Arabidopsis thaliana: one gene and its partner. The protein of the gene in region 2 interacts with the protein of the main gene of each other region in a biochemical or structural test. Each region holds a gene or a part of one and is shown on either strand. Other genes may lie near its edges.

Region 1 (7,702 bases), on a different chromosome or scaffold from region 2:
TTCATTGTTCTGTGCATAGCGTTAAGAATCAAAAGGAACACCGAATCATCCCAAGAGAGACACAACAGAACAGACAAATCAGGAAGAATATTACTCAGAATCCGAGTCAATGGAGAGGTACATCCGAGGTCTTACAGAACGCTTCTGGCGAGGAAATGAAAATGGATTATCTGATCTTTGCTTCTTTGCCTTGTCTTGTCTACTGTCATTCATACCCAGAAGCAACGACGCTGCAAATACGCAGTAATAGTCAGTAAGTATACCACATGGACTATGGACATATATAAAGTAGCATATTCAAAGACAAAATACGCCACATAGAAACTAAAACAGATATTTCTTCTTCAGTTGTTTATAAGACCTAGCTAGCAGCTTAGTAAAGTGATGAAAAAGGTAATGCAACATCAAGAACATGGTCCACATTTTTAGGTCCCTTTGATGTTTTCAGGAAAGCATTAGTCTCAGACAGGGAACAAACCAGTCTCTGTTGTAGTATCCATAGAACCTTCCCTCGTAGACATCTGATGGCTTGAGTTAATCCCGTTTGTAGTTGCAGGATCTCCATGATTCCCAGAGGCGCTATCGCCTAGCCTAAGCGAGATCCAGTCTTCACTACGGAGACCATTTGACATATCAGCTTGGTTTTTAAAACCCGACTGAGCTGAAGCATCTGGTTTTGTTGGCAAAAATATTTGAAGTGAGGGATCGTCTCTACCAAATGCAAGAGGATTGTCAACTAGGCCATCGTTTGCTTCAGATCGGCCAGTAGAGCCAGGAACCACAGGAACAGATGCCATTGATGTCTCAGGAGCCATGGTATAACCTCCATTTATTTCAGGAGAACAGTTTAGTGGACTATGATGATGCAAACCAACTAAACCTCCTGAAACGTCAGCATCAGATCTAAATAGTTGGAACCCAGGGGCTTCTGGAGTTTCAGAAGGAAATGACCAAAGGGGCGTATCAAATTCATCATCATCATTGAAAAGACCTAAGCCTGAACTTCCCCCAGCTATGCTGTGTGGGTCCTCATTATATGAGTTAATTATTCCAGGAGGGTTCAGTGGAAAAGTAAGTCCACCATCTGTTTGACAACCACTGTATGCAGGCCCTGGAGTGATCACTAAATCATTCTCGTCATCAGAATCACTCAGAACGATGACTTCATTATTTCCACCCTCGCCAGATTGGTTTCTGTCAGGAAAGTTATAACCTGAATCAACATTCATGGAAATGGAATCAAGTTCCATGCCGTTGGCTACAAAGTCAAAAGTTCCAATAGCATCCTGGTTTACGCTTGCATCATCACCATCCCTACCACTTCCAGTAGCACTACTACTCATTGGTATAATATTCTTCTCCTGATACCCAACCTTTTCTTGCCTATTACTGGAAGATAATCCATTTGTATTAGGTTTGCTAACTTCCCAAATGCCATTACGATTCTTCCTTATTCCAAGTTTTAGCGGGGCTGGACCATCTGAGTAACCTTCTTGCTTAACCGGTAACATTTCCATCTTCCGTTTAATATCAACAGCAGAGGGGCAAAGGCTACCATCAGGTGCATGCCACTGTGAGAGTTCCCCCAGTTCCCTTCGCTCACTCTCTCTTTTGAACTTTACACGCCAAGAACCATCAGGTTTCACTTCAATTTCAGTCACCTCTTCATCACAATGCTTCATCTGTCGTGCAGGAAGACAACTACTGAATAAAAGCGTAGATACAAAGATTTTAAGAATTCTTGAATTCCCATAAGAATACATACCTTAGACGTGATACGGTTAAAATAAGGATCGACGATTACATGCTCCACTGAGTAGTTCTTCAGACAAATAGGGCACTGCCACTGCATGTTAACAAACCCCAGAACAACTAAAGTCAGAAAACAAGAGACATAACCCAATATCTAGACAAGGATAGTAGACCTACCTTTCTGGAACGTTGATTCAACTCCACAAACACATCAAGGTCAAAACAGCCCATGTGCACACAGGGTAAAAATCTCCCAGCAACTTTTATCCTAGAACCGCTCATCTAATGACGCAAACAGAAAAGACAATAAAAAAAATTCAGTCTGCAAGATAGCCCTAGGAAGAGGATAAGTATAAAAACTGGGCTACGAGCTATTAGTAACTTACAGGACACCGAAGATTGACACCGAAGAAATCAGCAACAACTTCAATGTCACTATCACTGTCGGCATTATCATCTCCACCTCCACCTCCAATGCATCGGCGGACACGTGCAAGAGCATCTTCAAAAGTCTCCCCTTTACCCTCTTCTGGAATCAAATTTAGAACCTAGATGCAAAAATGAGTATATATATAAGCAACTTGGAGATCATTAGATCATTAACGTACAATATGAATTCCTCTGTATACAAGAACACCAACAAAAGTGATAAATATATTGATTAAAGGGATAAATGTTGCAGCACAAGGACAGACTACACTTCCGTAACCAAATCTCATACAAGGCCAGGCTCAGTGGCTCATATACGTGAAATATAGGAAGAAGAATAGGACTGTGAAATTTGAAATCTGACTAACTTTTCTAGATTTAGTGGGAGTGGGAAATAACATGGGAATAGTTTAACGTAAGTGTGTAACCACAGGTAACTTCCACAAAATTACTTTCTTGGGTACGCCAACATAATTTATTCTTTCTTTTTGTATTCAGAATATTAATTTCGTTCCTTTTTGAACATTTATGTTTGGACTCTTCATTGACCACATATACGACCAAATCTTTGAATGTTTCTTATGCATATATGTTATCAGTACCTGTTGTAGAGTCCTGCGCTTCACAAGTCTGACCCCAAAACAAAAAATCCGAACGTCACCTCCACTCAAGGATATTCTGTTAACTCCATCCCTAATACAAGATGTAATCTGCCAAAATAGTAAAATGAAATGGTTAAAACTTACATCACTGATTGCTAGATTTTCAATGTATGAGAGATTGACTCCTATATGTAATTCAAAAGGGTTACTACTCAAAAGGGATGATAAAAAACACACAATGGGTCCATCGTCGCGGCCGTTGACTCCCAAAAGCTGTCCTCCAGGTCGATTAATTGCACGTACAGGCACACCTATGAAATGATAGGGTATATATCATGAATCCCACATCAGAAACATACACAGTCTTATTGAGTATGATCAGAATAACAGACAAATAAAGACAATGTGAATGTGAATGGAATGTGCCCACAGGAATTTATGCAACATGAAATAAAACAACATTCCCCTGTTTCAAAGGAAATGCTCAACCGACTAAAACTCTGGTCGATGTCATTGTCATACCATTGACCTGCAGATCAGCATACTGAGGCCACTGCATCCTAAAGAGAACTTTATCATTCAAGAGCATACACCAAGCCTAAACAAAATTGATTTCCAGTTAGAAACGTATAGGTAGATACACCTTGACATATTAAATGTAGTTTACAAAACCCAACCTGAACATCGTACTCTGGTTTGGCCAAAAGGTCCTTGTCTGCCCTTGTGATTTGAAATGTTCTCTCCACACTCTGCATTGTGCTTGCACTGAAAAGTTTTGGATCGGAGTATTAGTACAAACAAAAGCCAGTAACAGTATTTCTTCAGCAGGTGCTATGCATATAGCCAGGAAACAATTGTCATTCTTGAAACTAGAATGAATGTCTTATACCAGTTCCAAGTAGAAAATTTAAAGTCAAAGTGACTTATAAAGTACCAATTCACACAATAATGGCACTGAAAGTACACTCGTTCAAAGCAATAGCAATATCAAGAATATAAAATTCTTACCCATCATTTGGGATAGTCGTTGCAGTCAGCCTCACTGGAGAGAGTGGATGTGCCACTGTAACCCAAAATCTGAACAAGGAAACCATGTAGGAAAACCGTGAATAATCATGCTATAGGATATCCACAGGTGCTAATGTAAAGATAGGAAATAATATATAAAAGAAAATTGACAACTATGAAAACAGTACTAGAAGAAGAAGAACAATCAAACGCAAAGAAACTAGAATGCAAAGCATGTCAAATGTATAAATATGTCTTTCTTTTCAGTTATGGCAGGAAAGAATCATAAAGCAGTGAGGGAGGAACTCAGATGGAAAATCAATCACATATCAAACTTAAACTCAGACAGGAAAAGTAAAATCCTTGAAACACATACGGGTCAGCTCGAGTAAGTCGGCAGATTTCACAATAAAATGATTCCGGAAGTGGTGGATTCCCATCCATAGGCTTATCTGGGAGAATAACACAGCCAACATGCTGCCAAACATGGCATCTTGGATCCTCACACTGAAATCGGAAGAAAAAAAACAAAAATTACAGCCAGAAAGTATCACCAAACTTCACAAATGTAATCAATGATAAATACATCACACCATCGACCATAAAATACAAAGAAATTGTCTACAGTCAGCTCAAACAGGAATAAACGCAGTGAGTTCATCCCAGATTACCTGTATCATTGAGTCTGTTTCTAGCGAGTTTCCACAAACACATCGAACTTTAATTTCTGGTTGGAAGGGGTCTTCAGGCTCTCCCTTAACTTTCAGATTACTGGTATCTGAACTCACTTGTCCTTTTGATGCTAAATCACTTGCCCCAGATACTTGCATTTTCCTATGGAACACAATATAAAATTAATGGTAACAAAGAACCGCCACAAAAAGCATGGCATCTCCTAAGAAATCTATTGAAAGAAACGAGCACTCACCTATATGTATCGTCCACTAATTTGGCAACTGCTTCCTTTGCCACTGTATTCTTTTTAGACAACAACCTGGCAGCTGTCAGTAGGGAATGAAAACGGAAGCTTATTAGAAGAAGATGGCAGAGCTAGCAGTGACTCTTAATACACCAAAACGTGAATAAACAAAAGCAAGTGGTTCATATAACCTTGTTCATCAGAAAGAAGGGTCAAGATCCGGTCGACAAGTTCCTGCACAAGAAAATTTCAAAAAGAAGTTAAATTTTTTGGTGAAAGAATAAAACAGATAACACTCTTTGCAAGGTAATGTCTTAGATTTATCTTGGAAACTGCTATATAGCTCAAGACAGCAATAATTATCACCCAAAACATCATCTTCTCTACTATAATCATTCCAAAACAATCACAAACATAATCACGACCAATGGAAGATTAGAGAACGATACTAACCTGCTTCTTTCCCTGTTTCGAAAGTCCCAGCTGAGTGAGCACATCCTTGAGCTCTTTTATCCGAAAATATGAAAGTTTTTCCTGCAACCCACAACAAAAACACAACGTTAAGCTTAACTAGAGCAAGACTAAATTCAATAACAGCAACCACGAACCATAATCCAAAACCCTTATGAGATAAAGGATCGTTTTTTACTCCCAGCAATACAATCTAGATCATAAACAAAACGGAAAAGCAAAGCTTTTTTGAAACATCCACTCTATATACCAATCAACACATTCATAACAAGTTCAAATCAACAAAAATTATAAACCAACAAGCATCCATAGATCTTTCAGACAATAATACCTTACAATTAGCTTCCAAATCCATGTCTTCAACACCAGACACAAACAAGAACCAAAAGCTCAGTTCAAAACACACGAACCTAAACTCCAGCAATTAGTCTCCATACAGCAACCGATCTAAATTAACAGAAAAAAAAGAAGGAGTTACTGAAACGAAAACCCTTGAAATTCCAAAAGACAAGACCTTTAAAGACTATTAAACGGAAAATACAAACCATGAAATCGGATACTTGATCAAACCCTATCGAAATTGATAGGTTAATGAGAGAATTGAGATGATTAGAAACTAGGGTTTTCACAGCTACGATAAGATTTTCTTTGGCCAAGGAAGAGGAAAATAAAAAGACAACCAAACCCAGACGAAGAAAAATCGATCCGCCGAGACGAAAACAAAACAAGGGTTGCCGGACGAGTCGCCGATTATCAAATCCGGTTTAATTTTCGCGCAATACGTCCGGGTTTAGTTCCTGTGTGGTCACGTGCACGGTCGTCCCCCCCACCAATATTGACGTGTTTTTGACTTTCGGTTCTCACACCACTTATTTACGACCGTAACGGAGTCTTTGTTATTTTAATCGAATATTCCCCACGTTTTATGACATCAGCCGTTCGATCAGACCGGACCGGTTTGTTATATTTTAACCTCAATTTGTTTATTTGCCGGTTTATAGTATATATCAAATCAATTTGGAAGTTTATCATCCGAAAACATGGTTTTCCATATGTCTCTCATGGCATATGTAGATATTGTATTATTTGATTCTAATTCTTCTAAGTAAGAATTTGGAAACATATTTCATGTCTCTTTTCTTCATTTGTTTTCATTGAATTGACATAGAATGTACATTGAATTGACATTTCTCACCCTCGCTAAATTCATTGAGAATTGTGGCTCAATTCTTCCATATGTGCATTATAGTTAAACTACGAATAAAGGATACAAGTGAGCAAAACCCTACTTTCAAGTTTCAACTAGTAAATCTATCGAATGGATTGCTAGACCGGATAATTCATACTCATTACGGGATGGTTCGTAAAACATGTGGGAAATTATCTTATATATCCACCAAATATTTGAGGTCTCGTAAGCATGTGATCTTGCAAATTGATACGTGGACCAAATTAGATATTGGACACATTTATATGTTCTTTCTATATGTAAAAAGCTTCATTCCGTGTGGAGTTCATTTGTTACAAGAAATGAGATATTATAGATATCAAATAGCATGAAGCTCTTTCTTCAACACTATTTCTACATACAAAAAAAAACATTATATACCAATTAGTGGTGGACTTCTGGTGATAAGATTTGGCTTTTTATCTTTTTGGATGCTGTGTTTTGAACAATGACTTGTCGAGTTTGAACCAAATTTGGTGTTAACCCGAGATATTAAAAAAAGGTTTAATTAGACCTATAGATTTTCCTTGTTCTGCTTAATGAAGATTCTAGAGTAGTCGTGAGCTGGTCTCATTGACTTGATATTTTTTTTGCTTCTAATGGAATGAGATATCTTGAGTTCATGATGTGGATAGTTTTCAAAGATTTGTCAACCTTTTCGTCTTAACATTTTTATATGTCCCTTGTCAAAGGCAAAGAAACATATCGAAAGTAAAAGAAAAGACATTTTTTTCTTGTGGGTGAGAATCAAACCAAACTTGTGAGAATTCTGCAAACGTACACAACTCTTAAATTGATAAAGCTTTTCTTGAAACTTTCAGGCTGAGGATGTGCTGCTAATCATGTGAGCTCCTTGCTGAGCTAACATTCAAAAGACCAAAACATATTTGAGCAAATAGCAAGAACCTATCTTGGAACAGATTATCATTTTAGGTAAGAGAAGACGATCTAGAGGCTCAAACCAAGGTCCTCTACGGAGCAGTTTCATTGTTTTTATGGTGTTACTATGTAAGTAGAAAGAGAATAGTTTATGAATATTAAGATGCATCTTTGTTAGAGGGTGATTATTGAACAACTGAAATACCTTGATCTCTCCGTATTAAGATGCATATATAAGGATTGCTACGTAGGAGAGATACCGTCACCACTAGTTAACTTCTTAGAAGAGGTGATGGCGCTATCTCTCCTGCGAAGCAAATCTTTATTTGCAGTTTTAAAACCATAGAAGAAGCAAGACCACTTGTATGTGTAATCACTCTATTAGTATCACCTCATCCATATATATATTATTAC
Region 2 (5,522 bases):
ATGAATCGTTGATATATGATTTTATTTAGATATATATATATATATATATCGTAACATTTTCTATCGGTTTAATAGCACACTATTTTTATATAGATATGATGTTCCTTTTGGATAACTTAGAACATAACTTGTGATGCTGTATTAAAATTCTAATCCTGTAATGGAGAAGAGTTTGGATGCTAGAAACATACTTTATAAACATGTACAATTTTAATAAGAACAAATTGAATATTAACTGAAAACTCTAAAGATTCTCAAACGATTGATATATTGTTAAACTAATCACCCAAAAAGGAAGAGTCTTCTAAATTACAAGTTAATAAAACAAATGAAAAAAGTAAATTCACTCCCCCTAATCTTAAATCATATATGTGGTGAAGATTAATATAGGAACTAATGGACGAGTTTGGTTTCAACTTGCACAACAGGAAACTACTTCGCTTTGGCTTTATTCTCTTTGAAAATGATTATTGGTGTCTAATAGCTGTAGAATTTTTATTTTATTTTTTAACGACAAAGACATATGAAAAAATGAACATATTCAAATTGATATTCATAATGTGAAGTAAACGCAGAAAATTCAATGTACGATAACCTAACCACAAAAATTTCTGAAATTACTTTTTGTATATTATTGTGAAAAAAAATATCGATCGTGAATACAACGAACACATTATATTTCCAAATCCAAGACTTTAAAGAACCAACATTATATACAAACAAATCCCTCAATACTTATTTAGAATCTATCATAACACTAGGCTTTTTGACGACTTAACGTTTTGACTTTGAAATATCTTGGCTTTAGACTAGAATATCAAGAAATCCTCCTTGATGTTATATTGCATCTTCTCCAAATTCGGCTGAACCGCAAACTGAATCATCGGTGGTGGTCCGCAAGCCATGGCAAGGGCTGAGCCATCTAATCCATCAGGGATATGTTCTCGCATAATCGCCTCGGAAATAAACCCGGTACTGTATGCCCAACCTTCCTTAGCTGATTCCACTACGTACCAAACCTTTAACCGGTCCGGGTATTGCTCTGCCCAACCATCCAGTTCCTCCCTTAGGAGAATATCTTCCTCGGTCCGGTTAGCATAAATGACGTACATTTCAGTCTCATCCTCTGGATCCTTGAGAATGGCTTGGATAATTTGGTAAACCGGAGTTATTCCGGTTCCACCTGCCAACATTGCCAATTTATCAGCAAACTTTGGTTTACCGTGAACCGTGAAACTACCCTTGCCGAGATACTCAACGTGACCCAATGGTCCTTTAATCTCCAAAGTTGACCCTATAGGCAAAGAGTCTAGGTACTGAGACATGAGCCCGCCGTTAGGGAATCTTGGGTGGACACCGCCAAAGTAAATCTTGACCACGAGCTCGAAGTAGCCAACCACATCAACGGTGCTGCTTGGTGTGTAAGCTCTGAGGCAGAGCTTGTCATTGATGGTGGCGCAAAGGAAAATGTGCTTACCAACCGGTAAGCCTAGAACCATATCCTCAACCGGTAAAGCAAACCGGAATTTACGAACATCATGAGAAATGGAAGTCTTTTCGACGAGTTGAACCGGGACTTTAGCCCGGGGATTAACCAAAGCGAGGTTCCTAACCGGAGTCGCCTCTCCAATGGGAGCCAACAGCGAGAACACGGCGGATGAACCGTGAACCGAGTTGTTAGGCGAGGAAGAGTCAGAGGAATAACCAGTGGTGATGAGCTCACCGATACGGTAATCCTCAAGCATCTTCTTGGCTTTATCCGAGTGAATGGCTTCAAACTCCTCCGTACAATCCGTACCAGCATTGATCAAGATTGAATCCGAACCACCCGGGTGATCCATAAGGAATCGTGTACAATCATAGATATGTCCATGGACAATGATCCAGCAAGAGTCAGCCGAATTATGCTTCTTGACCTCGGACATCGAGTACATCTTCGCAGTTGTGTTCATAAACGGCGTCGAGACAGACTTCTTTAGACTAGGAGGCGCGTCAGCCGATTTTTCGAGGTGACGTTCCTTCGCCATCCATCCACCAGATTCATTACCAGGAAGCGTTGGATGCTCGAACACAATCCCAATCTCTCCCTTGTGTGGCTTGCACACGTTAGTCTTCACTCTAAACCAGCAGTTATTCATCATCCCCATGAGATTCCATATCATTTTCTCGGGCTGCGTGTTGAGAGTCTCGTCCCATGCACGAACAGCAATCTCTTTGGCACTAAGCAAGTCCAAAACCTCAACCTCAAGTGACCAAAAACACCAACACCAGAACTTCCCATACTTGTTTGGCTTCTCTTGATGGTCAAGTGCACATACGTTCCATGTCTCTCCACCATCTACCGTGACCTCCACACGGGTCACTTTTTTTCCACCTCCTGTTTTTTTTTGTATAAAGATTATTGTTACTATTAAATTAAATCATCCTATGAAATAACGTATTTATTAAATTAAAATGTTAAAAGGACAAGTACCGGAATATGCGTAACCCTTTAAAGTATAAGGTCTTTGGGTTGTGAAAGCGTTGATGGGAAGAATCTCCTCGTGACATGGCGTCGTAATCACGGAGTTTATGTTTAGCTCGTTGATTATGTACTCTGGCTTATACCACCAACCTAAAACAAAACCATTGAATTTGAATTTATGTAAGTCACAGAAGCTGACATCATCCACCAACATTAGTTTTTCATTTTTTAATATGATTTCTGTTTTTGTTTTTCTCCTATAGGTTCGGAGACTTTTTAAACATATCAATTAGTTCATCTTAATGAGATTTATTGAAGCAAAAAGATTTTATGTACCTTCTTCGTCGGCGAGTTCGGCGTCTACCAAAGAAGGTAAAACTCTGTTGTCCTTGAAATGGTAGAAATTGTCGGATTCTTTAGTTGTGACAATGATTCGTTTCAACCATTTAACCATCCGGCCACCAATGAAACCGGGGATGATGATCCGAACCGGAAAACCGTGGTCTGGTGTTAGATACTCTCCGTTTTGCATATAAGCCAAAATGATGTCTCTTGATGGATCCATGGCATATTCCTTCTTGATGCTCGTTCCGTATTTGGAACCAGCAGTTCCGGCACCGCCCGGAAGATCCTCCGACCCTTCGAAGCAGACGTTGAGAGCGCCGCCTTTTCGGCTAAAGATCCCGCAGCGACGCAGTACGTCGCAGAGAGGGACACCACGCCACACGGAGGTGGAAACTCCGGCGGATCCCCAGTTGAATCCCTTTGACTTCTTCACCATGTTCTGTTCCTTACGGCGGTTCCCCGCGCAGACTAGCGTCGCGGCGAACTCGCGGTAAGCAAACTCGGAGACGAGCTGGTCCATGGTGAATTTCATGGGCCGTTTGACGAATCCGGTCACCTCGACCGTCCATTCGGCCCATTGGGCTTTAGGGACGTGGCCGTGGTTACGAACGTAGTGCAACGGGACAGGGGTGATAAACCCGTGGTGCATTAAACGGTTAAGAGGCGCCTCGGAGTTGAAGGGATGTTTCCCTGTGAGACGTACCATGGAAGGGTTACGCTCGATCCAGCTATCAGCCGTGTATTCGTCCCTCGGGTCCAAAACGGACGGTTCAAGCTCGGCGTTGGATTTTCTTATCATCTCCTTGTAGTACACGGCGTTGCTGTTGTGTGTCTCGTTCTCGTCTTCGCTCGACACGTCTTCGTCATCGTCATGAACCTTGGCTGGTTTCAAGAACACGGTTTGGTTGGTGGTTTGGTTCTGGTGCGCCTTAGGGGAATCGGACCGGCCTGGAACGGGAGGTTTGTAAGAACGAACCACGCCGTTCAAACCTGGCTCGAGACGAGCGTATTGGCGATTATCTACAGAGGCCGCCATGTTGGAAAGTGTATAATCGTAAATAATGTAGAAAGCAGAGCCTTTTTCTCTCTCTATCTCTCTCTTGTGAGTGAGATGAGATCTGAGGACGAAAATGCATCGTTGGTGGAGATGAAGTTATATAGGAGAGAGCCTAGTGGTATGCTTTTAGGAAGTATCGTGCCGAATCACACGTATGGGACCATTTGTGACTTTTTAATTTTTTTCTTACACACTTACTATTAATTTTTTCTTATGACTTGACTTAATTAAATAAACCATCCATTTGTTTGACAAAAATAAACGATCATAGTTATTCAATAAGCTTAAAATGATCATTTTTGTCCCTATTTGTTATAAAACAAATGTGAATTGTTGGAGTAGTTTTGTAAATACTTTTAACGTCTCGGAAACATGTATAGATTTTTTTTTGTCAACTAAGAAATGATGACAATTGAATAATATATTATTATCTATCATTGGTTATTTCCTGTAATACAATATAAAAATGTGATCAAAACATTTTCCTTTTTATTTTAGTCGAATTTGTTTTACTAAAAAATATGTTTTCTTATTCGTGACACAAAGCCGTATTTATTTTTAATGGAAAAATAACGATAAAAGATGACAAAATAATTAAGAGCAATAAAATTAGTAATACAAAAATCGTGGTGATAATATTTTCATACTATTAATTTTAATAGTTTTTGTGATCGGTAACTATTAAAACCGTATATATATATATATATATATATATATATATATATATATATATATATATTTTGTAAACCGTATATTTTTTACCAGTAAATTAAAGAATTATCAATGTGTTAACATAGGAAGAACGTTCCTTTTATTATTGAGATTTGATAATCCTTTTACCCCTGGTTCTAGTTTAGAAGTTTATCAATGTTCTTATATCCTTCAGTTAAACATAGGAACAACGTTCCTTTTATTCTTGAGATTTGATAAATCAATTAAACATATTATCAGAAAAAATCTAATAATCATACAATATTTATTTTCTTATTAAACGTTATTTTCAGTAATATTTTCTTATTAAACTGTTTTTTAGTAATATTTTTTTTTGATAAAATTAACAGATGTGATTTTCAGCAATATTGATGAGATATTAATTATTGAGTAATCTAATTTTTTGTATACATTATTATAACCTAAAATAGTTCCTTGAATCATCTAAAAGTTTAAAATACCTATGTATGAATGTTGGAAAATGAAAAAAAAAAAAAAACTGAATGATGGAAAATGATCACGTTCATCTTTTTCCTTAAAATAACTACAAAATTATTTCTCTTTTTGATCAAGATGCAACATTACAGCCACCTATATATTAGTATTACTGTTATTATTGTTTTTCTTCGGAAAGAATGGCGGTGACTAATCAAAACCGACGGAGCCACGGGTTCAGCAGATTCAGTGGGTAAATCTTTCTTTATTTAAGACTTTTTTTTGTTGAAAATTTCATTGAGTAAATATTGAATATTGATTTTCTTGTGAACTTCTAATTTTGGGTAACCAATATACATCTTTATTTTTTTTATATATATATATATATATATACTTCTTCTGTTATAATATATAAGATATTTCACTAAAAAGACAAAGTTTAAGATATTAATTAATATTTTTACATTAAAAAACATATTTTGATATTTAATTAAAGAGAGTTTGCTAATG

What was found.
Region 1: of the proteins of NIA2 (region 2) and SIZ1, one has a biochemical effect on the other in vitro, tested with the Arabidopsis thaliana proteins (one study listed by BioGRID).

The regions. Positions count from the first base shown.
Region 1 is NC_003076.8:24,293,060-24,300,761, reverse strand, and holds the start of SIZ1 (DNA-binding protein with MIZ/SP-RING zinc finger, PHD-finger and SAP domain-containing protein), read right to left. Parts: upstream 6,002-7,702; 5' UTR 5,727-6,001; intron 5,629-5,726; 5' UTR 5,537-5,628; coding exon 5,513-5,536; intron 5,245-5,512; coding exon 5,164-5,244; intron 4,945-5,163; coding exon 4,902-4,944; intron 4,793-4,901; coding exon 4,720-4,792; intron 4,626-4,719; coding exon 4,463-4,625; intron 4,299-4,462; coding exon 4,168-4,298; intron 3,861-4,167; coding exon 3,792-3,860; intron 3,549-3,791; coding exon 3,461-3,548; intron 3,382-3,460; coding exon 3,306-3,381; intron 3,095-3,305; coding exon 3,021-3,094; intron 2,892-3,020; coding exon 2,784-2,891; intron 2,301-2,783; coding exon 2,139-2,300; intron 2,035-2,138; coding exon 1,930-2,034; intron 1,847-1,929; coding exon 1,766-1,846; intron 1,683-1,765; coding exon 479-1,682; coding exon of another isoform or gene 462-478; exon of another isoform or gene 231-461; coding exon 95-230; coding exon of another isoform or gene 91-94; exon of another isoform or gene 10-90; coding exon 1-9. UniProt on the Arabidopsis thaliana protein: E3 SUMO protein ligase involved in regulation processes. Mediates SUMO/ attachment to PHR1, a MYB transcriptional activator controlling the phosphate deficiency responses.
Region 2 is NC_003070.9:14,156,940-14,162,461, reverse strand, and holds NIA2 (nitrate reductase 2), read right to left. Parts: upstream 4,011-5,522; 5' UTR 3,846-4,010; coding exon 2,801-3,845; intron 2,615-2,800; coding exon 2,474-2,614; intron 2,378-2,473; coding exon 810-2,377; 3' UTR 524-809; downstream 1-523. UniProt on the Arabidopsis thaliana protein: Nitrate reductase is a key enzyme involved in the first step of nitrate assimilation in plants, fungi and bacteria.